Linked DNA regions of Lepisosteus oculatus. The protein of the gene in region 2 binds, or shares a complex with, the protein of the main gene of each other region. Links are inferred from orthologs where the notes say so. Each region holds a gene or a part of one and is shown on either strand. Other genes may lie near its edges.

Evidence for each region.
Region 1: morf4l1 (region 2) and bromodomain-containing protein 8 share a complex: the UniProt entries of both Homo sapiens proteins name them as parts of the nuA4 histone acetyltransferase complex. The link is inferred for Lepisosteus oculatus from reciprocal best matches to the Homo sapiens genes MORF4L1 and BRD8.
Region 3: the proteins of morf4l1 (region 2) and sin3b are in contact, whole or in part, in a cryo-EM structure (PDB 8BPA), measured with the Homo sapiens proteins. The link is inferred for Lepisosteus oculatus from reciprocal best matches to the Homo sapiens genes MORF4L1 and SIN3B. Residues at the interface, in NP_996670.1 of Homo sapiens: Gln217, Gln219, Tyr222, Ser348, Tyr350, Glu351, Val352, Ala353, Pro354, Pro355, Tyr357, His358; in NP_056075.1 of Homo sapiens: Cys394, Arg396, Arg402, Ala403, Pro405, Lys406, Thr407, Tyr408, Ser462, Phe463, Pro464.
Region 4: morf4l1 (region 2) and ing3 share a complex: the UniProt entries of both Homo sapiens proteins name them as parts of the nuA4 histone acetyltransferase complex. The link is inferred for Lepisosteus oculatus from reciprocal best matches to the Homo sapiens genes MORF4L1 and ING3.

The regions. Positions count from the first base shown.
Region 1 is NC_090706.1:29,598,274-29,605,778, forward strand, and holds the start of bromodomain-containing protein 8, read left to right. Parts: upstream 1-4,495; 5' UTR 4,496-4,567; coding exon 4,568-4,586; intron 4,587-5,881; coding exon 5,882-5,978; intron 5,979-6,289; coding exon 6,290-6,359; intron 6,360-6,460; coding exon 6,461-6,510; intron 6,511-6,830; coding exon 6,831-6,953; intron 6,954-7,226; coding exon 7,227-7,307; intron 7,308-7,481; coding exon 7,482-7,505. Other genes in the region: kinesin-like protein KIF20A, read right to left, coding at 234-392. UniProt on the Homo sapiens protein: May act as a coactivator during transcriptional activation by hormone-activated nuclear receptors (NR). Isoform 2 stimulates transcriptional activation by AR/DHTR, ESR1/NR3A1, RXRA/NR2B1 and THRB/ERBA2.
Region 2 is NC_090700.1:48,886,016-48,893,395, reverse strand, and holds the start of morf4l1 (mortality factor 4-like protein 1), read left to right. Parts: upstream 1-4,361; 5' UTR 4,362-4,484; coding exon 4,485-4,524; intron 4,525-7,380. UniProt on the Homo sapiens protein: Component of the NuA4 histone acetyltransferase (HAT) complex which is involved in transcriptional activation of select genes principally by acetylation of nucleosomal histones H4 and H2A.
Region 3 is NC_090724.1:101,061-108,771, reverse strand, and holds the start of sin3b (paired amphipathic helix protein Sin3b), read right to left. Parts: upstream 3,016-7,711; 5' UTR 2,739-3,015; coding exon 2,631-2,738; intron 2,593-2,630; exon of another isoform or gene 2,568-2,592; coding exon of another isoform or gene 2,559-2,567; intron 524-2,558; coding exon 417-523; intron 1-416.
Region 4 is NC_090702.1:40,169,821-40,177,762, reverse strand, and holds the start of ing3 (inhibitor of growth protein 3), read left to right. Parts: upstream 1-4,925; 5' UTR 4,926-5,038; coding exon 5,039-5,066; intron 5,067-5,194; coding exon 5,195-5,266; intron 5,267-6,838; coding exon 6,839-6,939; intron 6,940-7,942. UniProt on the Homo sapiens protein: Component of the NuA4 histone acetyltransferase (HAT) complex which is involved in transcriptional activation of select genes principally by acetylation of nucleosomal histones H4 and H2A.

The DNA.
Region 1 (7,505 bases), on a different chromosome or scaffold from region 2:
GTGAGTGTGCGAGAGAGCACGCCCAGGAGCAAGAGAGAGGGAGAGTTCACACGAGAGCAAGAGAGCGTGATGCGGGTGTGCGAGAGAGTGAGAGTTCACACTAGAGCAAGAGAGCGTGATGTGAGTGTGCGAGAGAGGGAGAGTTCACACGAGAGCAGGAGAGCTTGCACACGCTGCGAGGGGTTTGATATCCCAGCACGGCTCCGCCTGCGCTGCCCCGTCGCCTGTCTCACCGGCGTGGGGGCGTCCGCTCCAGGGGAGATGACTGACAGCTCGGCGAGGCGATGACCCCCTCTCTGCCCGCCGCCGGTCTCGGCCGCCGTCGACTCGAACACCGCAGCCTCCTCCTCGTCCGACAGCAGGCCGCGCGGTGAGGCCCCATACGTCGCCATGACAACCACTGCGAAAGCAGCAGACAGCCTCAGGTTAGAGGGGTGACACCCCACCATCTCCCAGACCCACTACACCTGCAGCCACTGCCCACTGAAGGGACGCACACCCACACCCACTCACACCCCCCTCGGTCCCTGAGCCCCCTACACCTGCAGCCACTGCCCACTGAACCGACACACACCCACACCCACTCACACCCCCCTCGGTCCCTGAGCCCCCTACACCTGCAGCCACTGCCCACTGAACGGACACACACTGGTCCATATACCCACAAACAGCAGGGAGACTGAAGCTTTTTTCAAATAAATGAAAATCAGCAGTATAACAACAGAGCAGACAGCCAGTGATGATTTTACAATAAAGCTAATCACTCCAGGCTTTACAGTGCTGTCAGTCACACTCCCAGTGCACAGCAGTACAAGTCTCACGCTAACAAGTTTCGCTCCAACAAATAGGAATAATAGCAAAGCATCAGTCCAGAAAAATAGCTCTAAACCACTGGCTCAAACTCCGAGCTTCTATTGTTTACTGGGTCCTGTTTGTGTTCTAGCAGTAGCACATAAGGAGGCGAGAGACCCGATTCTCCGTAGGCAATTAGCAGAACTCTTCCAAATAGTCGCTCAGGCACAGAAAGGGCAAAAAACGGAGGCAAGTCAATCTGATCTACGCTTCAGATCAATGTTAACACCTACTACAACTACACCAGACAATCGTCTCTGCGAGACTCTCAGAAAAGGTGGGTCTTGTTCAGCCGGGCAGAGCTACAACAGTAACAGACAGCATCCAGCATGGGATACATGGGGTCTCGGTAGAGGCATAATCCCACTGCTGGCAGCAGGTATTCATGGATGTGTTGGGATTGGGAACTGGTCAATGGGCAGGACACTCAGGATGGCGGATGTAATCAGTGGAGCACCACAGGGATCTGTACCGAGAACCCTGCTCTTCAGAACTCACAAGTATTTGCCCAGTCCCGAATGCTGTCTAAATCTTAAGAATCCTCCGAGTTCTCGAGTTTAATTCCTTGTTGTTACAGTCCGTCTATCAGCTTTTCAAAACCTTAGGAAAACTCCCGTGTCCAATTTAGGTTAATTAGGTTAATGAATGGACTACAGAGGGCGCAAGGCCCTGCAGGGGCCAAGTTAGAGGCTTGGGACAGTGTCACAGGGGTCAGGTGCAGGTAGGTGGTTAGAGAAGTCTGGAAGGAGCCAGCAGCCTGCAGGGCACAGGGCTGCCTCACTGAACACAGACCAGCTTCAGAGCTGCCTCCCTCTCTCTCAGCAGTGGAGGTAAATTCCACATGGGGCCAGTCCACTAAATTCCACAGGTAACTGCTAATCCCAGCGAGAGAGCTGGACAAGGGGGAAAAACAGAAACTCCAAGGGGACAAGCTCGTCCCACAAGGCTCTCCCACACCCCCTCTACACAAAGAGAGCCGTAGAACAAGCTGCCCAGCCAGTCAGGACAGGAGGCACGTCTGTACACAAAGAGTGGTGGGAGTGTGGTACAAGCTGTCCCGCTACGTTGTGGAAGCCGATACCCTGTTTTTTTTTTTTTACAAGAAACAGCTGATCACTGATCCCGGGATCAATTAGCTACTATCGATCAAAGCGGTCAGACGGGCCCTCCTCTCGCTTGTTAGCCCTGGTTCAGATCAAGTCTTAGAGCGCGGTGTGGAGTGAAAAACCGCATCGGACCCGGGACTCTCCGGGTCCAGGAATTAACAGCAGTGTTGGTATTGCGGTGCTGCAGTTTGTTCCTAATTTGCAAGCCTGTGCGTGAAGCTCACTTTCACGAGGATAAACAAGTCAGGCGAGCACGCCCCCCCACCCACCCCCGGAGAAAGGAAACCCGCACAGATACAGGGATAGTCTGTGGAGAACCCGGCCGTTTCAAACCAGTTCCGCGGGTGGACAACCCACTCAGACCGCGCACGACCCTCTCTCTGCGGACCAGCAGGCTGGGGCAATTTCAATGCCGAGAAGCGAAGAACATGCACACGGGGGGTCAGGCGCACGCGTCCTTTTAAAAAGGGTTTTTGCCCGCCTCGCAGTCTGATACTCTCGATTTTATTCTCTAACCTCTTCAATACAGGGCTTTCTTTTGTCAGTTCACAAAAGTCATGCAATAAAAACTGTAAGAACACAATATACCATCAAATTTAGAAATAAGAGGAACACTGGGGTGTTTATAGCAACTGTATCTTACCAGGTCGGAAGTCTGTTTACGGTAGAAAGAGCGCACGCAGTCGGGGGGTCCACAGATTAATTTACACGACCACACTGTCCGCAGTGATTTTAAGGTTTCGCTCTCTTGGTCTTTTTTTTTATTTACTGAAGTTTATTGGCGTGACCGACGAATTACTGTTGTAATACTTCATACAGTAACAGCAATCGGGTGTAGGACATTTATGTCTTCGAGCGGTGTGTCCTCAATCTGAAAATTACCCACATTCACTATCGAGAGAAAACACGCAACCTCATTTAGTTCAAAGACAAAACAAAACACTAACCTTCTTTAAATACAAACGCAGGTTTTTCCGTAAAGTTCTGACGTCTTCTGACTGAGTGTCCTCTCTAGAAGTTTAAATAGAGGCACATTAAAAGTCCTATAAACCCTTTCCTCTGTCGACTAAACTTAAATTAACAACCGCGCTGAACTAAGAACTCTGGGACCAGCGTTCAGCCCCTCAGCAAACCGATTCAAACGTCGCGCCCCGGAGGGACAGCCAATCACCTTCCGAGTGCCGCCCGCAGCCGCCCAATGGCAGCGCTCGGAATGCGAGGGCCGCCGCTCCAGCCAATCGGACGGCACGCTGAACCCTCGCCCAAGGCGCAGGCGGAGAAAGGGCGCGGCGGCGTGCCTCTGTGAAGGAGAAATAGAGTGCGACCAATGGAAACTGGCTCCATGTTGGCTCAAAAAAAGAAGCACCGTGGCGAGCTGAGCCAACATGGCGATCTACCGCAGCTGGTGGGTGCTCGTTTAAACCTTTAGTTGTTCCTTTGCATCGCTACAGAGTAGCCTCTAAGAGCTACGTATTCATGTTCACATCGGCTTTATTCCCACATGAGTAGATATTGTACTTATCTACTTGAATAAACCTGCTGTGTGAATTTAGTCGAGAGAAGCCAGCGTTTCTCGCCCCCTTACAGATATGTTATTCTTCCTGTGCTAATAGATTATCTAAACAGCATGCCATCTTTAGACAGCCGTGCAAATTCGTTTAGTGTGTGGGCAAGCACCTCTTTCCCTCGGGGACTGAACAATAAATGTGAACAGTATTCACTTCGGCGGTACTAAAGAAGCATTGATGTGAACCCACATCGATTTGATAAACATCTGGACCGCCTGTCCCACACAAACGGCGCATTGTTGGCAGCTGAGGAGCCGCAGGGCACAGCGGGTCACGTGGGTCGGCCGGTCGGGAGTTTGCACTTCCCAGCATCGCCGTCAGGAGTCGCTGTTGTCGCCCCCCCTCTGGGCCGCGTCTTGCCTTGATGGCGCTGATCTGCGGGCGAAGTCTGTCCCAGCCCGTTGTGTTAGGAAAGGCGCCTTTGATTGTGGGATACTAGGGGTTGCAAATAGACGCCTGTTTAAAAGTGTAAACTCAGATTAACATAGGCAGAGGTATCCAAATATAGGACACAACTTAGAAGTATGTAGTATTATAGAAACAAATATAGGTAGTAATGTAAAATATATAATCGTGTAGACACGCGAACACGGATGATACTGTAGAAAGTTGAATGCAGTTGATTTTGCAGAATTACAGTATATAACACCCCAGAAATGCAAATATAGGTGATACTGCAGTGCAGAAAAAGTCTTTGGAGGATGCGGGCATCGATCCCGCTACCTCTCGCATGCTAAGCGAGCGCTCTACCATTTGAGCTAATCCCCCTTTCTTATTGGGCCGGCCCTGAAGTCTGTATATAAACTAATGTAAACAGTACAGTTTACAGAAACAAAGACTTTAGAAAGTACAATATTCCCACCTTATTTGTATTTCTATAGATAAAGTGTATTTTCCATGAGCGATATATAAATTGGTCATACTGTACATGTCCCTCCAAAGCCAAAGACTTCATTTCCCAGGCAGCATCGGGGCTAGAAAAGCACTTTGACCTGGAAGTGCAAGTGCTCAGTGGCGGTGTGGGAGGGGCAAGGAGTCAAGATGGCGGGCGGCATAGGGAGTAGGTGTTGTTTATATTTTAATTGTGTCTTTGTACCTTTATCAGTGTTTTGGAGTTGTTTCTGTGTTTTTGTGTGTCTGTTCTGCGCGATGAACGGATGTTTCTCCTTACTCCTTATGTAAGGTTACCGTGACTTTCCCCAGAAATAAGTGGTATTCTGGTAACGGACGGTTTTTAACGTAACATTAGGAGTAACGTAACGCAGACACAAAGACTGTAGTTCAGGATTTGGCCCGGGGTGTACGAGAGCGTCTCAGTTTTCGGTCTGTGTGTCATACAGAGTCTGAACCTGAAAGAAAGTTAAGAGAAACCACGCTGGTAGCTGTACTAACGCTTGATAGGGGCTGGCTGTTACTTCCTACGACACCGCTAGGCGTGCGCGTATCTCTTGTTTATTACTGAACACTTCCCACGTTTTTAGTACCAGTTAGTACTAACTATCCATGATCGGTAGCCGGGTAAATATCCTTTAGAAATATTCTCGCCATGGCCGGTTGAGTATCTTTTAGACCAGTGGTCCCCAGTCCTGTAGAGAATATTCCTGGAGCCCGAACGCTTGCTGCCTTTTATTCCAGCCAGACCTCAGGTACACGATCCAACTCTTAACTGACTGAACCAGGTTTGACTCGGGCTGTTTGTTCTCAGCAGGCGGCATGGTGGCACAGTTGTTATCATTTCCTCAGCGTCAGTGACTCCTTTTGTGATTAAAGAGCCAGGTTTCAGTGTCTGGTACAGTGAGAGGGAGACTGTCATTTTGCTCACACATACAGTTTATCTGTTTTAATATGACCTTTCTCTCTCTCCCTCCTCTCCTATAATTTCTCTGCCCTGTCCCCTGTCTCCTCCTCTCCTGTCTTCTCTCTTCTCTGCCCCCTGTCCTTTCCCTCCTCTCCTGTCTCCTCTCTGCTCTGTCCCCTGTCCGCTCCCTCCTCTCCTGTTTACTCTCTGCCCTGTCCCCTGTCCTCTCCCTCCTCTCCTGTCTTCTCTCTGCCCTGTCCCCTGTCCTCTCCCTCCTCTCCTGTCTTCTCTCTGCCCTGTGCTCTCCCTCCTCTCCTGTCTTCTCTCTGCCCTGTGCTCTCCCTCCTCTCCTGTCTTCTCTCTGCCCTGTCCCCTGTCCTCTCCCTCCTCTCCTGTGTCCTCTCTGCCCTGTCCCCTGTCCTCTCCCTCCTCTCCTGTGTCCTCTCTGCTCTGTCCCCTGTCCTCTCCCTCCTCTCCTATCTTCTCTCTGCCCTGTCCCCTGTCCTCTCCTATCTTCTCTCTGCCCTGTCCCCTGTCTTCTCCCCGACTCTCTCCAGAGCACAAGCTGATGTCGCTGGGCCCCACAGAGCCCTGGTCTGTGAGGGAGAAGCTGTGTTTGGCCTCGTCTGTGATGAGGAGTGGAGACCAGAACTGGTAAGAGGGGCTCTTTCTTCCTGTCTCTCTGTCTGGCGCTCATGGCTGCCAGACAGTTTCCCTCCAGAACTGTCCCCTCTTGCTCCTCTCCCTTCTCTCTCCTTTGCCTGTGTCCCCGTCTCTCTCCTCTCATTCTCTCAATTTCCAGCTGTCCCCCCTCTCCTCTCCGTCCGTCTCCATGTCTCTCCTCATCCTCTCTCTCTCCCAGCCTATCAGATTCAAAGAGCTTCACTGGCGTGACCGATCAGCCGCAGTGTTCACAAGGCAGGTACAGTTAACTCCACAGTAACAGATACATCTCCCTCTGCCAGGGTGTCGGTCAGCAGAGCCATCAAGCCCTTTGCAGAAGCAGGCCGCCCTCCGGACTGGTTCTCTCAGAAGGTAGGAGACACAGTGATGCTCGTTCTCCTGCAGTGTTTCCTCGACCTCTTCAGCGCCGTGACGGTAGTGTGTTTTTCCTCCTTCCTGTCTGTCTCTCTCAGCACTGTGCCTCCCAGTACTCGGAGCTGCTGGAGACCACAGAGACGCCCAAGTGAGTGCAGCTCCCCATCCCTTGTTCTTGTGTTGTGTTGTGTCTCGGGTGTGAGCAGGTGGGGGTGGGGGAGAGAGAGTGCGGTGTTGTGTTGTCTGGTGTGTGAGAAGGGTGGGGTGAGGGAGAGAGAGTGTGTTGTTGTGTTGTGTCTCGGGTGTGAGCAGGGTGGGGTGAGGGAGAGAGAGTGCCTTGTTGTTGTGTTGTGTCTCGGGTGTGAGCAGGGTGGGGTGAGGGAGAGAGAGTGCGGTGTTGTGTTGTGTCTCGGGGGAGGTGGTGGGGAGACAGTGCAGGAGTGTTGTGTAATGTTGTGTCTCTCTCAGGCGGAAGAGGGGAGAGAAGGGTGAGGTGGTGGAGACTGTGGAGGACGTGATTGTGCGCAGACTGACAGCAGAGAGGATAGATGAGCTCAAGAGGCTGATCAAAGACACTCAGGAACTGCACAGGTACTATTTTGTCCTGTTACTCTATCCTGTGTCCTACAGTATTGTCCTGGTAATCTGAACTATTGTGTAATGTTACTCTACACTGTTTTCTACAGTATTGTCCTGGTAGCCTGAACTGTTGTGTAATATTACTCTACACTGTTTTCTACAGTATTGTCCTGGTAGCCTGTGCTGTTGTGTACTGTTACTCTAACCTGTGTCCCTGTATGCTGTGCTGTGTTGTGACCTGATGGTCCTCACTGTAGTCCACTCTTACTGCGTCTCTCCCTGCAGGAAGCTGAAGAAGGAGGCAGAACTAATCCAGGCTGGACATCTGGACAACAAGTTGGAGGAGCTGTGGGGGGAGATCGTCCTGTGAGTCTGTCCATCTCCCAGTGTCTGTGAAAGGCCGCCTGTCCTTCTGTGTACTTGCCTGGGTCTCGTTGCCTGTGCGTCTGGCTCAGGAGATGTCTGTGATTTGATTGTGGTTGTGGCGCGGTCGGCAGGCGGTGGCGGCGTCACTGATGCGGTTACTGTTCCCGCCTCCAGGAAGAAGAAACAGGACGAGGAAGA
Region 2 (7,380 bases):
AAGACAATCGCAGCCTTTATTTTCCTGCAGACCGCGTCTGGTGACTGTGCCACTGCAGAATGGTGACATGAGACCTTTTGGCAGTTGCCAGAAACCATAAGATGTCAGTAAGAGGATGGTGTAATACACACAGAGTGAATTTATTGTGGCATTAAAACTTCTCACCTCTTATCAAAAGGGACTTCTTCAGGCTACCTTGCTCATTGGCCCGAGTTGTGGTGATGGATATTTGAATTGTCTAGTGACATAATGGTTTCACTGATCTCACAGCACAAACCCCGACTTGGAAACTATCAGGCGTAGCAGCGCTCTGCTCAGCGTTTCAGTTGAAACTTGGCATGACATCACGAATCCCGACTTCACAGTTCTTCCGCTTGTACCTCTCATGCCCCCTCTTTACTGGGATTATGAAACCCAGTTGGTGTGAATTTCAATAGGATCGTGCGCTACCAGTTTGATCACAGAATCGAGAAGGTACCTTTTCAGACAGACGCGCACCATTAATATGACAATTCTTTCAATAAAGAGCAAAAAGCTCTGTGAATGGGAGGTGGCATTTCTTATAATCTCATACCGGATTCATCACCTATTTTGATGGTTAACAACACTGGATTGTTTTCCGCAAGGATGATATCCTATACATATTTTCCCTTATCACACACCCGCACAATAAACAGAGCAGGAATCAAGACAGTCTACCTGAAGCGCATCGGATTAATCGGGAAACTAAATCGCGTGGTTCGTTTGTTTTAAACACTTATTTGAAAAACCACTAACCACTAGCCATCTGAAAGCACTCAAGTGGAATATACGCACTGCCCATACCTGTATTATGAGTTAATATTTACGAACAAAGGTGTCAGCTTTGAAAACGAACTTCTTAGCTGTACAACAGCAGCAAACTGAACCTGCTAAAAGTGAAGAAGGCTTTAATCCATCAATTAGATTGGATTGTTTGCGCATTCTCTGCACAAATACAAACAGGATGCCACTGCCTCACGCTGTCAAGAAGGCTCTTACGCTTGCGGGTACTGTCGTTGTTTTTTAACTAGATGTTATTAACGTTACTGTGCTGTTATAATTATCACCATCACCACCCCATCTGAAACTGAAAATGATCTCCGCCGGCGTAAGTACACTATCAAGACGGAAAAGACCCGAGGTTTTCAAGAAACTAGCATGCACACGCGCAATCGCGTCCCATTGTGACCACTATCGCGCTGTATTCTCCGTGTTCATCCATTTCTAATAGCGCGCATTGGAAGCAGTCAAGGAACGGCTCCGCTACTCATTGATTTAAGTGCGTTTGTCTCTTTGGACGCGCTTCTTCGCCTCGAAAGAAGAGAGATCTGTGCGTGACGCGCTTCAACAGCCATAAGCATAAATACCAGAATCACATTTAAAAACAAAAGTTTTCACAGTTACCTGTGTGATGCGAATACAAGCGTCAGTCAAGAAAAAGCAGCTGGCTGACAGCACTGACCCTACAGACACAAAGTAACTGGAGATCGAGCACAGCAGGACTTTTCGTGGGCACGAGAAGTTTGCAAACATACCTGTAAAAGCTCTGCACGAAATACCACCGTGGTTGAAAATAGCATCTCTTTACGCGCACGTGTCTTAATGCACATTTAACCCAGGATTTGGAAGTAATTTCCATGCAAGAACAGCAGAGGCGATTTCTTTCATAAATACGACTGTTTCTTGCGCTCACATCACTGCACATGTACATGCAGTATTTATGGGCACACAATACAGCAACCTTTCCCCTGCCGCTCGCAGCTCCCATTTGATAAATGTTATTCGGGTGCTGGCCTATTACACAGTTGCACTTTCATTTATTATGGTGTTGTGCGGCTTTGAATATAAATCAAATCAACAGAAAAAAAAACATGAATTAAAATGTTCAATGTCTCTGTAAAACAAGAGCCAGTATGCATTCTGGAAAGATTGCTGGTTTCCGCTATTTGCACAGTTACTTTTAGAAATTTGTTGTCGCCTTCAAAGTAATTCCTCCGTTCTAACCTGTGGAGACCCTAGGGGAGTAATAATTTTGCAGTTTACGTGATATACATTCGAGAAAAGCCAAGTGATTTAAACCTGCATACAAAAATAGACAGGTTCCCAATTGGTTAGCCTCTTTTTTTTTTTTAAAGAGATGGAATAAGAATGCTGTAGGCCTCCGTCACAAGGTATAGCAGTTATTTTCTAAAATATCCTGCATGAATAAGTCATTCTTCATCGTTTTCGCAGTTTTAGGTGACTGAGGTTAGAGGTCAGCCTTAGGAACCACTTATATAGGGATCTGAAGTCACCAGGTACAGCCAATCCCGTGATTTCCCTGTGAGAATCCGAAGAATTTAGCTTCCTGAATTCAATGACTCCGCCCCTTGATGACTCACCCGTTCTTCCAACCGCTACTTTGCTACACAGTTCTTTAGCAAGTGGTGGTGATGGTTGGATTCGCACAGCGGTGCACACAGTCAGTTCCAGCACTCCTTTGCTGCGGAGAAAGCCCACTCGGCTACGTTGCGCTTCATTCTGCCTCTGACGTTTGCCAGGATCCTCACTCCCAACTTTGTGTTGTGCTGGATGACAGTGTTCCTCACATTCCACAGTCCTAGTATTGTGAGGGACACTCACTGCCACGGCACACTGGTAGCTTAGCACTGTTCCTACTCCCAGGAGTCGTACAGTGTTTTCCATTCTTCCATGCACCACTTTGGTGAAGGGGCAAATCCAGAACATGTGCTCCGTTGTCTCCTGATAAAACACGTGTCCTAGGGGCAGTGTGTGTTCCTGGTCATCAAGTGTCTGCCAAGGTCCTCTCTGGTCACCAGCCTCGGCTGCACAGCCTTCCATTTGAGGTCCTCCAGCTTGTTTTCCAGTTCTTTGAGTTGAGTCCACTCCCAGGTCTCATTTGGGGTTAGCAATTGTGAACCAGTTCCCCCCTCTGCTCCTTGTATAGGGCTCAGTGGTGCAGAGCTCTGGCCATGTCATGGTCTCGTATCTTTGGTTCCTCTTGACAGCGTGGGTGTGGATTCCTGGTTGCTTTTCTGCTTTTGGCCCCGTGTTTGACCACAGGAGCAGGTGCCTCATCAGGAGGGAGAACCACAGCCTGACTAAGTACTAGTAGTTGTGGCTGATCAGGTCCCATAGTGTCACGATCGTGACCCCCTCCTCTTAAGGACACTCCAGCCCTTCCTTGTTCAGAACTCATCCCCTGCACCTGCCTCCGGTTCCTGCCCCTCGTCCTATAAAAGCCGGGCGCTCACTGTCTTCCGGGCTCTGCACTGGTTTCTGTACCAGGCGAGTCTGGGACCTGGAAGTGCCTGGTCCCGTCAAGCTTTTAAGTTCCTGTTCCTGCCGGTTCCTGTTTTTATTCTGTTTGTCTTGGATGGACCGTCCGGTTTTGGATTTTCGCCTTCTCTTGGATTCCCTCTTGGACGTCTTTCTGGATTGTTTGCCTCGGCCACACCTTCCCCAAACACCAGCGTTCCATGAACACGCCCCCTGTTTTCATTCCCGACTCCCGCAAGCTTTTTCCCCATGTTTTCCTCACTCTACCCCGGATCATGTCGTCTGCATAGGGTCCTAAAAGAACGCTTCCGTTACACATAGTACCAAAAAGAGGCTGCAGGCACACCATGGCAGGGTAACTAAAGCCACAGGATGTCAGATTTCGGCATCACCTTCCAAGTGAGGGTCAGTGACCATGTTTTCCACAGACACAGCTTTGATTTCACCCTGGCAATCCACTCTGTCCATTCACATGGTTATCTAATACGGGTTGTTCTGTGTGTATTAGAGGATGCAATGCAGTCCATTCCAGCATAGGGAGCGAATTACCCGTTTTCAAAATCTATATTTAAAGATCATGCAGAGTGACAACATTGACACTTCACTTTATTTTCCTGAGGTTGTGATTAAAAGTAGGCTATGACCATTTGTTATTTAATCAACGCTATCGGATAATTGTCTTTCTATCAAAGAAAACAAATTACTCTCATTCAGAAGACTTAAAAGGCAAACGCGTCTTGCAAAGCAAAATATATAAAAAAATCTATTCAATCTAGCATTTGTGACAGCACGTGGATTTCTACGTATCTGACAGGATTCTTTGTCTCTTTGTAAATGTAGTTAACCGATCTAGAAAGGGGCATATTTTCGTTAGTAAATAGCAGTTACTGTTTGGAAGATTTAATATTAACACATGTTCCAGATGGACGAACAAGGAAAAGCTATGCAGTGTCTTGATAATAAGGATGCCCAGCTAGTGTAGCTGTTTTTTTTTTCCAAATAGACATCCGAAGGGCGGAACCTAGCGCTAATAGAAAACGAGTCACACGGTCATTTGACGCAGCGCGCAATTCCTGTGCGTCGCTCTAGTGACGCAGAGCGGCGCCTTCACTGTGTCGGGGTGAATTCAGAGCTGGCGATGCTTAAATTTGATTTTTCAGTTATTTTAATAGTTTAATCTGTGAATGGCGCCAAAACAGGACCCTAAGCCTAAATTTCAAGAAGGTAAGGAACGATTTAATCAGTAAAATTTTGGAGTGGAAGCAGGCCTGCGTTTCGCCCTGTGTGTGACTGAGGGGTAGGGCGGCGATTTGCAGTCACTCCACGGTGTTTGTGTAGATAGCAGAACTGAAAAACGCGCTTAAGTAAAGATTAAAACCTTGTTCAAAAAGGAATAAAACTACGAAGGGCCAGGGCGGATTTTTGTTTTTAGCAATTTAGCTAGCGAAATGTTCACTTTCCCAGATTTATTGGGTGCATTTTTCTAAAGGCCTAACATCTATGAGCTAGCTAGTCTTTTTCAAGTAGAGTGATCTATTGTCTTCGTTGAAGAAAAAATAGGCTATAAAATATCTTCTTTTTGTTTGTGTCTGTAATTAGTAATGTAAGGAGAACAATGAGTTTTTCAGCTAAAACTTAAAAGATTTAATTTTGGACTTTGAGTCTTGATTGTCACCGTGTGTTTGAGCGTATTCTTCGTCGAACCCTGCTTGAGAACCATATTTCTTGTCCCTTAAAACAGTCGAATATAATCGATGCTTCTCGTCGTATCTGAAATAAGTTCCGACCTTTACATTAATATCTGTTAGTAATGCTAATTTATGAGCAAATCAGCTTTTCATATATACTTTTCTTAACTTAGGTTTGATAACGTTGCTCTGATAATTCGTCCTTCTTTGGCTAAGGTAATTATTTTAATTTTTTTCTTGATATTTCAGCAAACAATGTTTTACATTTTTTTGCCATGAAGTAAAAAGTTGTAATGTGGAAAAGTCGCGCTTTTTCTTCACATAACGTTTGTATACAGAAATATCACATTGTGCCAGCACGGTGTAACTAAATATAGTTATGTAGCGACTACTTACCTCTTCGAAGCTGTAGCGAGAGAAAGAGAGATGCAGCTTCTTTTGTTGATCTTAACCTGCATGCGATATTCTGACAATTTAAAGGTTCACACCAAGGTATTTCTTCAGAAGCCTCAGTGAGTCGTAGGCCTTCCTGACATGTACCACAGCAAGAGTTTACCAATGGGCACTTAAATCCTTGATTAAAAACAGTACAATAACCCAGATTTGCATTCAAGTCTTGTGGCTTGCCAAAACGTGCCACTTGCGTAGCCCAAAAATCTAGGGTCGGCTCTTTCTTTCTGTTCGATTTGAAACTAAGTGACCTAATACTTTTAAAAGGGGTCCCAGTAAGCGGTTAACCCTCCAGTTTTTTGCGTCTGTGTGAAGAGATCTAGTGTTCTGTGATAGTCTTGCGAACTAAAGTTAACATCAATCAACTTGCAACTAGGAAGCAACAACTGTCTGCTAGATATTAGCAGTGCTTTGTAAACCTTGGTGAGTCTCTGGTACTTAATCACTCTTATAAACATGAAGATACACTAAGGTGTATCTTGTTTTCTTAGCAGTACATTATTTAAACTTGGGAACCATAATAATTAATAATAATAATTGCTTACACTTATATAGCGCTTTTCTGGACACTCCACTCAAAGCGCTTTAGAGGTAATGGGGACTCCCCTCCACCACCACCAATGTGCAGCCCCACCTGGATGATGCGACGGCAGCCATAGAGCACTAGTACACTCAGTAAGGCTTATCCGCATAAGGCTTGCATCAGTTTCCCTATCCTAGTCCAAATGGAAAACTCTCTTGTGGTTTGTGCTCTGAGTTCTTAATCACAGAACAGTTAATTTATTTTCTGTCTGGGGGCCATTTTTAAATTTGCTTTCAGATTTTAAACGGTCAAATGGAATTTGTAATTGGTGTCAGACCTGTAGTAATGTCTGAAACTCCCTAATTTTCTTGTTTCCTGGAATGTAACCAATCAGATCTCTAGAAAAAGGGGGAAAAAAGCTCTTAGTGGGAGAGTTTAAGTCAGTGTCATATTTGCTTGTCAGTTCATTATAAATGACTTATTAGGTGTTCAGAGAAAAACAAGTGTAAGCAATGCAGGAGAGGCTCTTTGTGCTGACGTTATTGAAAACAGTATGCTGTATTTAAAGTAGTGTATGTTTTAAACTCATACCGAAGGCAGAAACAAATTAACGAAGTCGTAAGCAATCAAATCAACTAAAGGTAAGAGCATAAGTACAATTACAAATGACACCAGGTCAATCGAACCATCTAGCCTGAATAGAAACATGGTGGGAACTGCTGGCTAAATGCAATGTGAGTAACCCAAGAAAGAAATTAAATCCAACTAGAAATACTGTGTAAAAATAAGAAGGCTGCATGATGTTTTAAGACTTAGGTATATTTGTATTGGGTACATTTACTTGAAATATAGTTCTGAATATAGTGTGTGCGTAGCCCATATGGTTAATATTTGTCTTAAGAAATGTACAGGCAGTGTGTCTGTATGTTAGCAGCATAATGATTAGGGTTTTTGTCTCCTGAGTGGAGGGTTATGAGTTCAAATCCAGGGTGGGACTGGTTTTGTACTCTTGAGCAGGTACTTCACTGATAATGCTCCACTAAATGTCCAGCTGTATAGATAAGTCGCCAGGTTTCCACTGGAAGTGAGAATGTTGTGCATGTAATTAGCTGGTGAACTAAAGGAACGAATTATGGTGAAAGGAATGTCTGAGAAGTGCCTGCATGTAGAGGTTTCAATTATGCAGTCTTTCCATCTTGAAGCAGATTACAGTTCACTGTAAGCTATATTTAAATGTGTATGGATGTTTTACAAGTATGTAGTACTGCATCTATACATATATGGAAATTAGACTTTTCTAAACAGACACTCGGATTTAAAAGAACACCAGCCTCATTGATGTCGGCAAGTTTGGTTTCAGTTTGCCGTATATGAAGACGGTATAGAAATTAGACAAGTCAGGGGCCACGGCCTACCTTA
Region 3 (7,711 bases), on a different chromosome or scaffold from region 2:
GAGCAAGGTGCTTAAACCACTTTGTCTACTGCTCATTCAAGAACTTCACGTCAAACGTTATGTGAATGCTTTAATATAACTCTTTTAACCAGTCTATGAATCAAACAGGTGACCCATCATGCCACAGATTGCCAGACGATTTTTCTTATAATAGCTTTGAATATTTTTATCTTCCACACAATAAGGGAAAATGTACAAAGTACACAAGCTCAGGTGAACTAACTGGCACTTGCTTTTCCTGAGCATGATGGGTTTTTTTGCCAAATTAAACAGCGGAAATATTCAATTAACTAAGCAGCCAAGTCTACAGTGCCTCCTACCTGGGGCCTGACCAATAAAGAGAATTTTGATCAAATTGATCTAAAGATCATATACTGCTATAGCAATGATGGAATCAAAAAACATTACTTGCTTACCTTTGTGATTTGAATTCTTTCATTATATCCAGAAATTTGTTGTATATCCCAGGATCATTACCAAACCGAATTTTAACTTGGTCCAGATATGATAAGGCATCTTCAACCTAAAATTAGAAAGCAAAATCTCATTTCAACTTTCATTTTTTTCCCCCCAAAAGACCCATTAGGTTAAATTACTTAAACTTTCTGACACCACTTCCAGTTAATGCTGATGACAGTAGTTTTCAAAACAAATATTTAGATTTGTTTTTAAATGAACAATTTAGAAAAACTGTTTTAAAATATGTCATGAGATACAGAAATGTGGAAACTAACACAATAATTATTATACACAAGGTAATAACAATTTAACCATTACCCTTTTAACAATAAGCATAGAAAATGCTGACAGAAGCAGCAAAAAACTAAATATTGTAAACATCCTGCATTCAGGCAATACAGAAATGTTTAAGTTCACATTTAATCATTTGTCAAAATAGTTTATTTTACACTAATCTAATTTTACAAAAAGATAAAAAGATTATTTTAATTATACATTTACAACATGATTTAACCTTATGTCAAATCCTTCAGAAATGTTTTTAAGAACAAAATTAAGTGCTCATCTTCCTATCAGCTCCTACTAAAATCTGAATAGAAACATATCCCCCTGCACACAGTACACCAATGTCATCAGTCCTTGCAATAAAACATAATGATGGAGCGAATCACTTCATAACTCAATTAAAAAATGTTGGAAGTGCAGGAAAATGTTTGTGAAAATAACAGATTTGGTGGCCATGTCCCATTGTTGCAGAAGCTGTAGGCTCACTGGCTGCACAGTTGCTCTTCTCATCATGACTAGCAATTCTGCTTATTGATCCTTCAAGCCTGGCACAGCACTGGGTCAAAAAACACTCTTTTTTTTTTTTTACCAGTCTCCAATACTATGCGATAGGATAGCCACTAGACCATTAGAATTGAGAATGACCTATATTGATGGAATTCACGTGAAACTGCTCAAGTTGATGGCATTTAACACATCACCTTTTTATCTGATCAAAGATATACCTTTTATGGGCAAACTGGAAAATAACATAAGGCGAATAATATGCAATTGTAAAATACAAAGTGAAAAGTTTTTTTTTTTTCCATCTGGGCTAAAACCCTAGCCCACGTTGGCCCTTTTTTGTCAGTGCAAGAGATCCTATAATCCAGACCAGTCAGTTCTCTGAACGTCTGACGATAAATGCAAGAGCAAATGAAAACCATCGGGATCTGATTTGAAATAACAGCATTGCTTCAACACAGGTCATTCTCAATTCTAAATTGTTTTTTAATGCCTAGATATCCCTGAACATCCTTCCTTTAAAATACACGTCAATGCGGTAATTGTCTCTAGAGCGTATTAGTAACCTTTTTCTTTTTATTTAAGAATTAAAAAAGAGAGAGCATGCTATACTGGCTATTACTGTGGGATTATATTTTCTCCATTACAACAAAGATCAGAAAAGAAAATCGCAGTATAAACCTGAAAAAGACTTGAAGAAGATACCTCTTAGCAGAAGTGAGTGTTATTACCCTAATGGTTTGTATCCCAGAGTTATCGAGACAATACAGTAGAACAAAATGTGACAAAAACACAGTTACAGAAAAGCTTGGCAAATTTTTCAACCCGAGCATTTCCTTTACATAATTTTCCTTCCAAAGTTTTAAACTTCAGTGCAATTGATTAAAAAAAAACAATTACAACCAATGTACATAAAGTGATGCACAGTGGCGAAGAAACGTGACCGTTTTGAAGTGTGCTCACAAACCCTCTCCAGGTCGACAGCAAAGCCTAGTGAGCAATCTGCATCAGTTACTATAACCAAATCTGCACTGTGTATAAGATCTCCATTGCATTTCATTTAAACAGAAGCACCTTTTGTCTCGTCAGCCCGTAGGAATGAATATATGGGGGAAAAGACACACAGCTCTGTAGGATCCATTTAACAAAGAAAGTACCGTAAAAAGAATTGTAGAAGAAACGAAAATACAGTTAAAAAAACGGCTCCGTTTGATTTTTGACTAGTTTTTAATAATCCACTACACATCTCACTATTGCTAGTTATATTAGTTATCTTCTGGGAAAGATCTCGCTCAGCTGCGTTTGCTCACCCGAATCATGCATCTCGCAGGCTGACCACATCGCTGAACAAACAGCAAGAAGACATTTTCTGTTTTTCTTACCTTCAGTTTCTGAAAGTGTTGTTGCTGGACTTGTTTCTGCACTACATAGGCCTTGTCCTGGATGTGTTTGATTTGCGGCATGTTGTTATGAGCTCGAATTTTCGCCATTGTCCCCTAATTCCTCAGAAAATATCTTGGCCTGCGAGTGAGGAGAAGGAGGGGGGCGGAGGGTCCCAGCTATTTAAAACGCCATTGTTAGTACACACTGACAGATATACAACTCACGTTTAAAATCGACTGAAACATCGAAGAGTAAGACAACGAATACTCAGAGAATCGCCCCAAAGCTAAAAGGGGATAATAAAAAAATAATTCTGTCTCTTTAAATTCGGCGGCGGGGTGCAGACTTGGCGTCCGGAAACAGAAAAAAAGACCCAGCGCGCCTGCGCAGAGCAAAAGCATTCCCGCGCTCGGCGCTTTCTGCGCATGTGTGAAGTTTTGCCACTTTCCTCTGGAACTTGTCAGCTGAGACGTTGGCGTCATATGTACTGTAAAAAAAATATTACGATCCCCCGCTCCCTGGACGGTATAAGCAAAGAGGAGTAATTGCTTGCATAAATTCCATATTTTTTGTAACCCAATTTTATCCACTTTTAGTTACGTACAGCACACACCTTCACTTATAAACAGCCTTTAAAACATATTGGGACAGCAAAGTCAAAACTCATTTTTGCTTTAAGTTTCAGCAATTTGCTCTTGAGTTGATGAGATTAACATGAATTATAAAGCCAACAATCTAAGTTTATTGTTCTGGTACTTTCACACATGCCTTTTTGTGTACTGTTCTGTTCTGGTTTGTTCTTTGTGTGTTCTGGACTGAGTAACTCTCATCTATATATTACTACTTGGTAAGCTATAAAGATTGCGTCATCTAAATCATCATTTGTATGCCAATGATACTCAGATCTACAGACATAGATGGATGTACTTGGTTATGTGCGAATATGGCTGTTCTCAAAGGTTCTCTGCACTGGTAGTACACTCATATACTACAAGTATTAGTACATGGTACATGGTATGAAATTTGTCTGTGTGGATTATTTTACAGCTTGTGAATGTTCTAATCGCCACTCAGTTCAGTGACATGAGAAACCTAAAGAGGAGATGATACACAGTGGCACTGATACATGGGAGATGTATACATTTAGTATACATTTACACTGACATGCTTACAAAGAGTACATACACACAGATATTGATGGTCTGAGACAGAAATGAAGGTTAATATGCAGAGTTAGATAAATTACAAGCCACTTGAAATTGCAGTGAGTTTTGACATTTTTGTGATATCCTTTGATTTTTGTTATTTCCTGCCACTTCACACTTCACATACTAGATAAGATAAATAGACTGGTTAGACAGACAAGATAAAGGTGTCTAAATAAATATTTCTTCAAATGTGAGTGCCTGACCAGACTGGTTTTATAGTTTGTTGAAACAGTATTTAGAAAAAAAAGGTTTGAAGAAATCAAATATTTTTCAAATGTTAAAAAAGCCTTGGAACACATTTAAAAATGGTAATGTGTGTGACAGTTACCAGTGACTCTTAGTATAACACGGCAGTGCAGTGAACTCAGGTGCAAGGCAGAGCAAGCAACAATCACGCAGGTAGTTATAGGTAAAGTGCAATCCAAGTAATAGTCAGGAATCAGACAGGGTTTGTAGCCAATTGGAAAGCAAAAAGAAAACTAGCACTGAAAGCTGTGATAAAAGTGGCAGAGATCAGGGACCAAGGACAGATAGGAACAGACAGAGGGTGAAGTTGTCTAGTTGGGATTATCTTGGCTCTGTAGCATGATGGCACACTAGATAAACCACCTGTGTCTGTTAAGTCGTTTGGCTCCTTCTGTGTAGGCAAAGTAAAACCATGAAATGTTGAGTTGCCCATCCATCAAGTGTCTCTATTCATCAAGGACAGGCTTAACTGCCAAATTTTCTTGTCGCCAAGGTTATAATTTTGCTCACCCAAAGAAAACTTCCTGGAAAAAAAGGCACATGGGTGGATAGATTTGAGGACAATGATGGCAAGTAGAGTAGGTTTGTCTGAAGTACAGTGGCCACATACCTGGATTGTTAAATTGGGGAATAAAATCAAGCCTTTTGTATCACCTTCCAGGTGTTATGGGACTATACATCTCATACATAACACGTGTAAAGCCATGCTAGAAGTTTGATTAATGAGGGACTGCTGGTAAATTATATGGTGTCAGAATCAAACACCTTTGTTGAGGCCAGAGGACAAAAAGGTTAGAAAAGCTTTGATAAGAATATAGCAAATGTGTCCAATACTGGTCTTTGAGGACCAGTATCTGTTGGTTTAGGTCGCCACAAAATTTGTGTTTATATAAAATAGTATGTACCTAAAGAGCTGGATGAAGCTTTTCAATTAGCAAGTAAGTGAATAAAATGAATAAATTAATGAATAAAATTACTTAAAATAAAATTAGGGGCATCGGCAGAGACAGAATTTATTATTAACACTGACAATATATTCAGCTGCCTTTTCTGCATTGACGCAAGGATGGATATACACTAACACAAAAATGTTGCAGGAATTCACAAGGTAAGTAGTTTGGGTGAAGAGCAACAACCAAAACCTCTTGATCTGATACGCAGAGCTCCTCTTGCACTACTGCAGTTTTACACCACTTCTAATTAATGTACAGACAAACACCATTCCCTTCTCTCCTCACTGGTACTGTCTTTATTTATATCAAGGTGGATTAGAGATTCAAAACCATCAATAAACAAGTCCTGGTTAGAGACTTGGTTTTTTAGCCACATCTCTGTAAAAGCTACAACAGATTCCTTTACCCTTGTTGATAATTGAGTTGCAGTTCATCCAGTTTGTTCCACAATGAGCGTACATTAATCACAATAATTAGTGAACATGTACAGTAGACAATATGTCATTGCATACTCAGTGTGAAGAGGCCAATGATGTGTTATATTACCAAACAGACAAAACTCACTAGCCGAATTTTTGAACAGGGTTAGAAACAGCAAAGATAAAAAGACCCTGACAAAGTACAGGCTCAATGACCACAATCTGGCCATAGAAACTGGGTGACAGGCAGACCTGGCTGCCCAGAGAGGACAGGCTGTGCTTCCACTGCCAGCAGGGAGAAACAGAGGCAGACATGCACATCCTACTGGACTGGGAGAAATATTCTGGGATTAGACAAACATTGTTCCCCAAAATAAATCTCAGAATTCTCACACCTGCCTGAATCAGAACAGCTCCCAATCCTATTTGGAGAGGGATGAGGGAACTCAACTGAGCTCGTAGCACAGTAGGTGATCTCCTGTCACAGCCTGAGGAGCAGTGAGCCTGTTTCCCTGTAATGTTCTAAGTGTTATATGTTGTATGTAAATCTCCTATGATGTACAGTATTTGAATTGCTACTGGCTGTGGTAGATTACAATGGAGGTCTCTCTAAGAATCTTGACACAATGGGTAATAACTAGTGTCAATATTCCAATTTACTAGAGCTTCAAACTAAGGGATTTTTACTTGGTTGTTCTGGGTGTGAGAAACACTGATCAAAAGAATCTTCTGGTTTTAGTTAATTAAATTCTCGATTGTCAATCGACAGTCCAGAAAGACACCAAATAAGATCAGATCAAGACAGTGAAAAGAATAACAGAAAAGAAAAGACCACAAGGGAGAAGACAGGAGGAGAGGACTTAAAGTCTCAGCCATCTGAGCTCCTGTCAAACAGTTCCTTTATTTGAGATAATCTGAAAAGACTCGATTGAAGCTAAGTATTTGAACCTTGCTAAAGAGAGCTTGCTATTCTGTATTAAGGAATTTGGATTTCCTGAGTGAAGAATACCTTGGTTAAAAAAGGCCTTTCATGCTTGGTGGATTTTTTGAATAGGGAGAAAGGCTTTCTAATTTTTTGTAACATCTGTAGATGTTGTATTGACTGTCCTGTATATGCTTTAACAACACTGTAATTTACCTGTTTGAATTTGAAGTAAACTGACTACTGCTCAGATTCGTATTACAGCTAAAAAAAGGAAATGTAAAAAGTGCTCATTAAAATTACAACTGTTTAGGGGTTAAACATAAACTCACGGTAAAGAAACAAATTATAACAGAAATATGTTCTTTAGCAGTTTTATTTGGAATGTGTTGTATTTGCACTGCCTGCTGCTTACATTGCCTCTTTGGAATGAATAAAAGTTTGAATGGAATCAAATCAAGAAAATGAGAGAAAAAAAATTCACAGACATCAGTGTCTTCCTGTTGCACAGAAGCATTTTGGTGTAGTGCTAACACATACCATGCAAAGCTTTCAGAAAGGAAATCATATAGTAAAAGTGTTAAAAGTAAAAAAGGGAGGTACTGTAGTGTACAATGCACTAGCACAACTACATTTAGAATATTGTGTACAATTTTGGTCATGTCATGAAAGTAGTATTGCCGCTCTTAAATTAGTCCAGACAAGAGTAACCAAATGAATTATTGGAGCTTAAACTAAGGATGTATGGTGTGTGGGTTCACATGTTTTCATTTGATTTCAGCTCTAAATGACCCCAATTAAATCATTGTTGACTAAATCTGATCTATGTAAAAGCCTATTCTAGATTTTCAAGTGTTGCTACTTTAAAGAGCCCTAAACACCTGTCCAGGATCATAATTTCACATCCCTGACTTAAAAGAATGTTGTACATTGATATTTTATATGAAGAGAACAGTTAAGTGTGAACTGGAACAGGGGTTCCCAGTCTTGGTACTGGGGACTAATACACTTACTGGTTTTCATTTCAGTGGAGCTCCTTACTTAAATGAGGTCTTAATTGAAACAATGCATCATTGTCATCTCTATCCAATAGGGTCATGGTGGCCTGGAACCATTCCTGGAAAGCATTGGGTGCAAGGCGGGATACACCCTGGATGGGTCACCAGATAATCGCAGGGCACACACAGACACAAACATCCACACACTCATACCTGGGCCAATCTTTAGAGAAGCCAGCTAATGTACCAGCATGACTTTGGACTTTGGGAGGAAACCTATACAAACTTGTGAGAACATACAAACTCCTCACAGATTCAGCAGCAGACATTGAGC
Region 4 (7,942 bases), on a different chromosome or scaffold from region 2:
CATATTTCAAAATATATGCATTCTAAAATGCTTGCAGACAAAAACAGACCTAAATTCCTCAGATTACCTATACATTCAACATCACATGGATGAGTGAAGCAAAACAAAGAACAAAATATACTACAATGTCCTTAAAATGAATGCAAAGTTTACATATATTACAAATTCTTTAATTTCTTTTTACAATCAAGATTTTCATTTTCACAAGAGCCATGAGGCTGCTTTATCACATACAGAAGAACTAATTAATTAGCAATGAGCTTGTCAGGAGCATTTTTCTGTCCAACTGATATAAATACTAGCTCCTCCTAAAAAAAAAGTTAATTTTCCCGAGTGAATAACAATGGAGTTTCATGCATCACAGGCCACTGTTTCATAAGAGAGCTGTATGCAGCTACACCATATGTTACATTAGATCGCACACCTCAAAACAATTAAAATTGTGTATACACTGTACAGTAGATATCTGTCACGCCTTCTGGCTGATCCTACTCTGTCATGTCCCTAGTTTCCTGTGCTTTGCTGTCCTTCCGGTATCTCTCTCTCTCTGGGGCTATATATTTCCGGGTCACTCATTCACCTTCGCTCAGCATTGACATTCAGATGTCCTGAGACCCACCTACAGCACCAGGTCACCCCACGTCCACTGCCTGAGGGCATAGGTTTCTATACGACTCCTGAACTGCTAATCCCCTGTTCCGCCGCTAAGCATAAGGGTCTTTTTCCGCTCTCCTGCCTCTCCACAGTTCGTTCCTTACGACATCCGTGACAATATCAGCTTATAGAAATACACATTTGAAGAAGGCCACTCAAATTGAGTGTCATGTTTTTGTGCCCTTGATAAAATAAAGAAAACATTTTAATCACCAGCAAGAAGGGGGTGGTATGCCAATTTACCTTTATATACTCTCCTGTAGTGATTAGCCAGTTTAATGAGGTATTTATGTAGCATCTTTTATCCCAAAGAATCAGAGTGCTTTACACACAGGAGGGAAATCTAATTATCCACCAATGGGTGATGATGGCAGTCATTATGGATCAGCAGAGAAAGTGGAGAATAATAATAAATCCTTACACTTCTATACAGTTTTTCTGGACACTCCACTCAAACAACTTTACAGGTAATGGGGACTCCTCTCCACCACCACCAATGTGCAGCATCCACCTGGATGATGCGACGGCAGCCGTAGTGCTCCAGTACACTCACCACACACCAGCTATTAGTGGGGAGGAGAGCAGAATGATGAAGCCAGTTCATAAATGAGAATTATAAGGAGGCCATGATTGGTAAAGGCCAGGGGGAAATTTAATGATAAATGTCTTGGGGAGAAATAGAAAAAGTTGTAAAAGAACAATTTAACTTTCTAAAACTTTTTTTTTAATCTGTAACAAAAATAATATGGAGAAGTGCCCTTAAGGCTGAGACTGTTATTTTTTAATGCATTAAATGCTTAAAAATGTGGTAATTTTTCTACATGAGCAAAGAAGCACCTGAGAACAGATGCCTGTTTTTCCCTGTCACCATCTGAAACTCAGAGCTTTTGGCAATCATGTAGGATACTTTCAGAAGGTCTTCTCGAACTGACCTTCTTCATGAAAAAAAATCTTAATTTTTTATTAAGGTACCTATTCTTTTGGAATAGGAACAGGCATGAATAATGTTAACACAATTCTGTATTTTTTGTCAGTTTTATTAATTTAATTTCCTTTTTAGTGTAACAGAAGAAGTCATGTCAAAAACAGTTTCCCAACTCTACATGCTTATGAAACACTTGAATGGTGGTTTAAAAAGTTACATCTTGGGCCAAGTACAAAAACAGAGTAAGAGTTAGCACAGGGACCTGAAAGTATGTAACTCGGGGTTTTCCTCCGGACAAAAGTAAAATGATCAGGTGTGGCTGAGGGGTCCAGAAAAACAAAGTTCACACAGAATGAAGTTGATTTCGCTGCTTAAGTATTCTTCCGCGAAAACATGTTTCTTATTTTTTCCTTGTTAGGAGACTGTGTTAGAAGGGCTGTAGCATGTATATTGGCGGGGAGGCTTGAAGTCATAATATAACCCTTGATATAATATCTATAGTATCTGTAACTAATAAAATTGTACAACATTGGGTTGTGGGGGTTCCACGCTTTGCCACCAGAGGGCAGAAGACCGCATGAAATTTCTAGTTAAAAGCACAAAATACTAAATCCTGAAAGACTATTTTTACAGCCTTTAGTTTTTAAACTGACACATTCGGTTCAGAGAAATAATTGTTAAGAGAAAGAAATTAAGTTGTGCTACACTATGTATTGTTTTAGCATTACTGTCACAAACCAAAATATTTTACAGGAATGTTTCGGTTGTTTCGGTTTTCTCGGATATGAGCAAATTATCGTGTTTCTTCTTTCTACTGTTCATTTAGAAATTAACCTTTACTTCTTCCTTTGAGCTTAACGCACACTGACTGTTCCCCCTTCGAACATATGCATGATAACAATACAGATATTCCCCCTAGTTTTCCCTTCTAGCGGCGGCAGTATAGGAAGAGATGCAGGAGAAGGTAACTGCACCTCAGTGATTTAATTTCGCCTTCTGACCGACGAAGGCGTGCTAATCACTGAGAGGAGGTTTAGGAAGCAGGGCATGGAGAGGAGTAACGGCTGCCGCTGCTTATTTTGGAGTAAGGCGAAAGAGGGAGAGAGGGAGAGAGGGGGGCGTTTTTGTAAAGGCAGGGAGAGGGGAAAGGAGGACTCAAGGTCAGGGTTCAGTGGCTCCTAGACACAGCGATAGCAGGGTGTTACACTGCCCCCTACCCAGCTCCCTCGCACCTGGTAAAGTGTGTGGGGGCGGGCTGGGTGCTGGGATATTGCAGCTGTGGACCGGGCCCAGACGATTGGGAAAACGGTAGAAGGCGAGGCGTCTCCTCCTGCGATAGGGCTTTGGGCTGAAGGCAACGGTGCACCTCTCTTGGCGGCTGGAAAGGTTGTTCCTCAAGGCCGCTTGCCACAGCTCTGCGGATACCCCTCGGCCCAGATGGATAGCGTTCTCTGGGCCCGCTGTCATCTCAGGGTCGTCTGGGCTGCAGGCAGTGGGCCGCTGTAGGCTGACACGACTGCTTTTAAAGAAGCGCAGCGCATCGTAAGGCTCTGCTTCCTGTCTTTTCACAGCACTGTACTCCTGGAGCTCGTCCGCCCACCGGGCAGCTTGTCCCTCTGGGTCACTGAAGGACGTAAACCGGCGCAGCGCAGGTTGCTCAGTGCGGATGGTGAACGGGAGACCACACAGGTGGTGCCTGAAGGGCTCCACCACGTCAGTAACACGATAGTGGCGTTTTGCTTTGGTATGGCTCCGTTCACTCCAAATAAATGCTCATGATTTTCTTCAAACGCAATTCATGAACCAAACATTGTGTTATACGAAGGCTGATGAAGGACTATGCCAGTGAAACAAATCATGTTCGTTAAATCCGTTGTTATAAAACGGATTAAATGAAACACATTTGAGGAAGACGAGTACAGATGTCTGTACTATCAAACAATCGACAGGACATTGGTTAAATATAATAGTATATTTTTGGAAATAGTTATTCGAAGGTAATACTAAATGTTTTTTTCCCCCAAAATAATGATACTGATTTAGTTGTTAACGTGGAAGTTCTTTCTCTAAAGTGCCATGTTACCTTATCAATATAACACCTGGACAAATTGCAAAAGTTTTTCAAACATGGAACTTGAAAGCATGCATTCAAAGACTTCAGCGTGGTAAGTATCTTTAATTTTGTATATTTAAAGAGCCCAATTCACATTAAACTCTTGGGAGCACTTACAAATGATAGGAGGCTATACGATATATCTAGTCTATTTGGTAGTTAGGTGTGAACTAAGCTCTGCCTTTTCTTAAAAGAAGTCAGGGTATCAGCTTCAACATGACTGTGTAGCTACAACCCTTTGGGTAAAGAAGCACCCACTCGTCTTGGTTTTAAACATATTTCCATGTAGTGTATCCACTTGTGTCCTCTAGTTTGTGTTTCACTGTTAATTCTGAAGTTCACTGCTTTGACTTTGCCAGTGCCTTTGAGGCTTTTGGATACTTCAATCAGGTTGCCTTATAGTCTATTGTTCAAGATTAAAAAAAAAAGTTAATCTCACTTAGCCGAGGTCTATTTGAAGTAAAATAAGTACAAAAATTAGAAAGAAGTCTCTACCCATTACCCACAGCCACATTTGGAAGCTGTGCTGGTCAGTGCAGAATGTGTACCGGTATGTGTTGAAATTGCTGTGTCACATCATACTGTCCACAAACATGTATACATTAATGACAGTAGTAAAGTCTGGATAAATGTCTGTTTTGCTGTTTAAATATATTTGCTATTTTCCTATTTACTCTCATTCCAAAATATTTAAATCCTGATTATTTCGAGGGGAAGCTGTGAGTGGTAACTGTAATCTCAGCTTCTTTTCTTATCTACCAGTTAAATGACCATCCATTTTCAATAGCCACTTATTCCAGCAAACATATTTGAGGTGAGCTGAAACCTAGCCCAGCCACCAATGGGCTTAAGACATGCAAACATACACATACTAGCATGTCTTTGGAGAGGGGTATCATCCAAACTCCACATAGAAATATACCCTTAAAGTACATCTGTTTATGATTGTAGGTAGATATCTGTTCTAAATGATTAAGGACCACTGCTGTATATAATAAATGTGCGTTTGTGTTTAATAACAAATATGTGTTAAACCAATCAAATATCATTAACATACAAAATTTGACTTGCCCTTTATCTGAGTGGTTCGGTTTCTGAAGCTCTGGCCTGTCATAAAACAACTGAGGTTAGACTACATCCCCCATGATGCTTTGGCATTAAACCATCAGTTTGCGTCATTTTCTCACACGCCCAATCAGATGTGCAGTCATGGGATGCGTCACATAGAATGACCTCCGGCGGGGAGACGTGATTTTTTTTTTTCCTTGAGCTGCTGGTGAAGACGGCGCCATATTGAAAGGCTAAAATTCTTTTACTAAAAGCCTAAAACATACGTTTGAGCCAAAATGCTGTACTTAGAGGACTACCTGGAAAGTGAGTATGGTATTTTGTAAGCGAATTTCGTGTTGGTTAAGGATCATTTAACGTGCGGGATGTGCAGGTGTTGTGTCGTGTAGCTCCCAGACGGCTAGCTAATTTTTTTTTATTCTTCTCTTTGGCAGTGATCGAGCAGCTTCCCATGGATCTGCGCGACAGGTTTACGGAAATGAGAGAAATGGACCTCCAAGTTCAGAGTACGCATTCGCTACAACGTGACCAAGTCAAATACTTGCCTAGCTAATTCATGGCCGTTTTCTCATTTCGGAGTGCTTATTTTTGGTATAGATGGGGCTGTATATTGATCTTTGATCAGATTAGATACAAGACTACGAATATTTACATTTTCCTGAAGATTTCACAGCTTTATTAGCTTAAAATGCACTATTCTGTCTACATCAATCTGCATTGTTTACTTCATTTATCCAGGCAGTGCTCCGTTTATCGGTCACTCATGATGGTAACACTTTCTATTTTGTAATCCGCACACTGTGTTTAAGCATCTTAAAGTGTATTTCAGTGCTGTTGTCCAACAATAGTGCTTCAGACCTGCTTAGAAGATCGTCGTAGCAGAAGCAGATGAAATCTTGCCAAGGAGTTGGAGGAGGAACGTTTCAGCCTGAACAGAATAGAATGAAGGGGCAGAGGGCACATATCTGGGTTGTTACAGGAAACCCTTCACCAGTGCCGTTACCAAGACTTATATAGGCTTTTATTTGTTTCATTGTCCGGGTGATTCCAAATGCCGTTGTTAGTTTTGGCTTGGTAACATGATGGGGAAGTGAAAGACGAGATGAATTTCAAGAGCCGTGTGTGCGGCCTACCGTGAGAAATGGGATGGACCGTTATCGGAAGTCTTTACCGTTTTACATTTTGGTGATGAGAGAGGAGTGAACGAGTGAAGTCCCTAATGCAGCCACACGTGTGACATTAAATATGTCTTAACAGAATATTGTATTGCAAAGGTATCTTGGATTATATGTAAATTACAGTGGAGCTACTTTCTATTAACTATTCTTATTCCTCCTAATATCTAAAATATATATAAAAAATCATTGCCTCAGAATTGTTGCAAATTTGTCACTCACTCCTTGTGTATATGTACTGTATGCCTTTACAGTTTATATGTCTGCCATCTCCCCAAAATAATCCCTTCAACTGTAGACATCCCTGTGCAGATGAACCGTATGAAATCAACCAGCTTTTTAAAGTATTGCCTAAAGAGATTTTCAGACACAGAAGAGTCCTTAGCAGATTGGCTTTATTGTGCAGACAGACTTACAGTATGCAGTCTACAAGGCATTTACAATGTAATTTTTTTTATTTTTTCAGAGATAAGAGATTACTGTTATTAGAAGTGGAGTAAACGCTCAATCATTGCACCAAGCTAGAGAGCAGGCATTTTGTGTTGAGTTTGAAATTTAATTTGTAAAACCATTATAGCCATTTAAAGAAACCTGTACTTGCATTGTGTTCATAGATATATTTTTGCCTTAAATGGAAATTGCTGCTCTTTTGATATGTACTTTTATACACTGACCATTTTCAGTACTCTGGACTCTTGAGTGTGAGTCATGTTTTCTAATGTTTACAGACATTTCAGTTATGGAATTAAAATTCAAATGCATGTTGTGAACAGTATTTAGCTTTAAAGTAAATAAGACCTACAAAATAAGGTCTAGCAAATCTGTTACATATGTTGTTGGAAAGGCTCTCAACCTGTCTTTTTATCCTCCTAATCTGAGGGATTCATTTGTTTTTTGTTGTAGATGCCATGGATCAGCTGGAACAGAGGGTGAATGAATTTTTTATCAATGCAAAGAAGAACAAGCCAGAATGGAGGGAGGAACAAATGGAAGCAATAAAAAAAGTGAGATTAATCGTACACTGCTTTTTTTGTAACTGCATTCAGCATTTCAAGCATTTGATTTGAACTCTTAAGTGTTTTCAAGTTTTTCAATTCTAGATAAATAAAATGTTTTGGCTTCCATTTTTTGCTTTTATATGATCATCAATTTAGTCATTTGCTCCTTTTGCCCAGACAGCCCAGGAGTCTTAAGAACAAACTATTCCATGCTTTGCCAAATTATTTTTAATCCAGCCGAAATTTTCTAACCTGTCCGTTATCAGGATCAGGATCAGGATCTTTTATAAGATCAGTCTTAAAACAATAATATGGACATTTTACATGTTTTTTTATTCAGAATTAATCCTAACTACTGTGTCTACATGATGCATTGTGTACTCTCATCACTGACACATCGTTTCCCAGGTTGACCCTTCTGGTATAAGGCTGAACACAGAGCATAGGTCACTTCCAGCACCACTTTCTTCTACTGCTCTGAAAAACATATTTTGAGCTCTTTACACCAGATTATGCATTGCTGTGTATTGGCCTTGGTTACTAGCTGTTTCCAAATGGCAACATTGTGAATCTCTCGCCACAGTTTTTGTTTAGACTGGGTCACAGAGGTGTAGATTCAGTTCTGTGGTCATTTTTGAGGCCATCATATTGTAGTGGTTAGCAAGTGTCTTTGACTTGCAGCCTCTGTTCCTCTTTCCTGATGCTGTTTTCTCTTGTTTGGTGTATGCTGCCATGCTTTTCCAAACTATTCCCCTTGACATACTAAGTAGTGTAGCTGTTTCTATGCTCCTACAGTTTGGGTACCAACTACTTGACCTCTTTCATTGCTGTTAGATCTCTAAAGTTGCTTTAGTACCTCACATATTAGAAGTGTTGATTTTAAAATGTCCTAACAGCAGAAATATATTGGTAACTAGTACTGAAATTAATATGAAGCTTTTGTAGAATCATTTTTAATTGTGATTTAGTTGCTTAAAAATAGGTTACAGCCATAGTGGGGAGTTAGTAG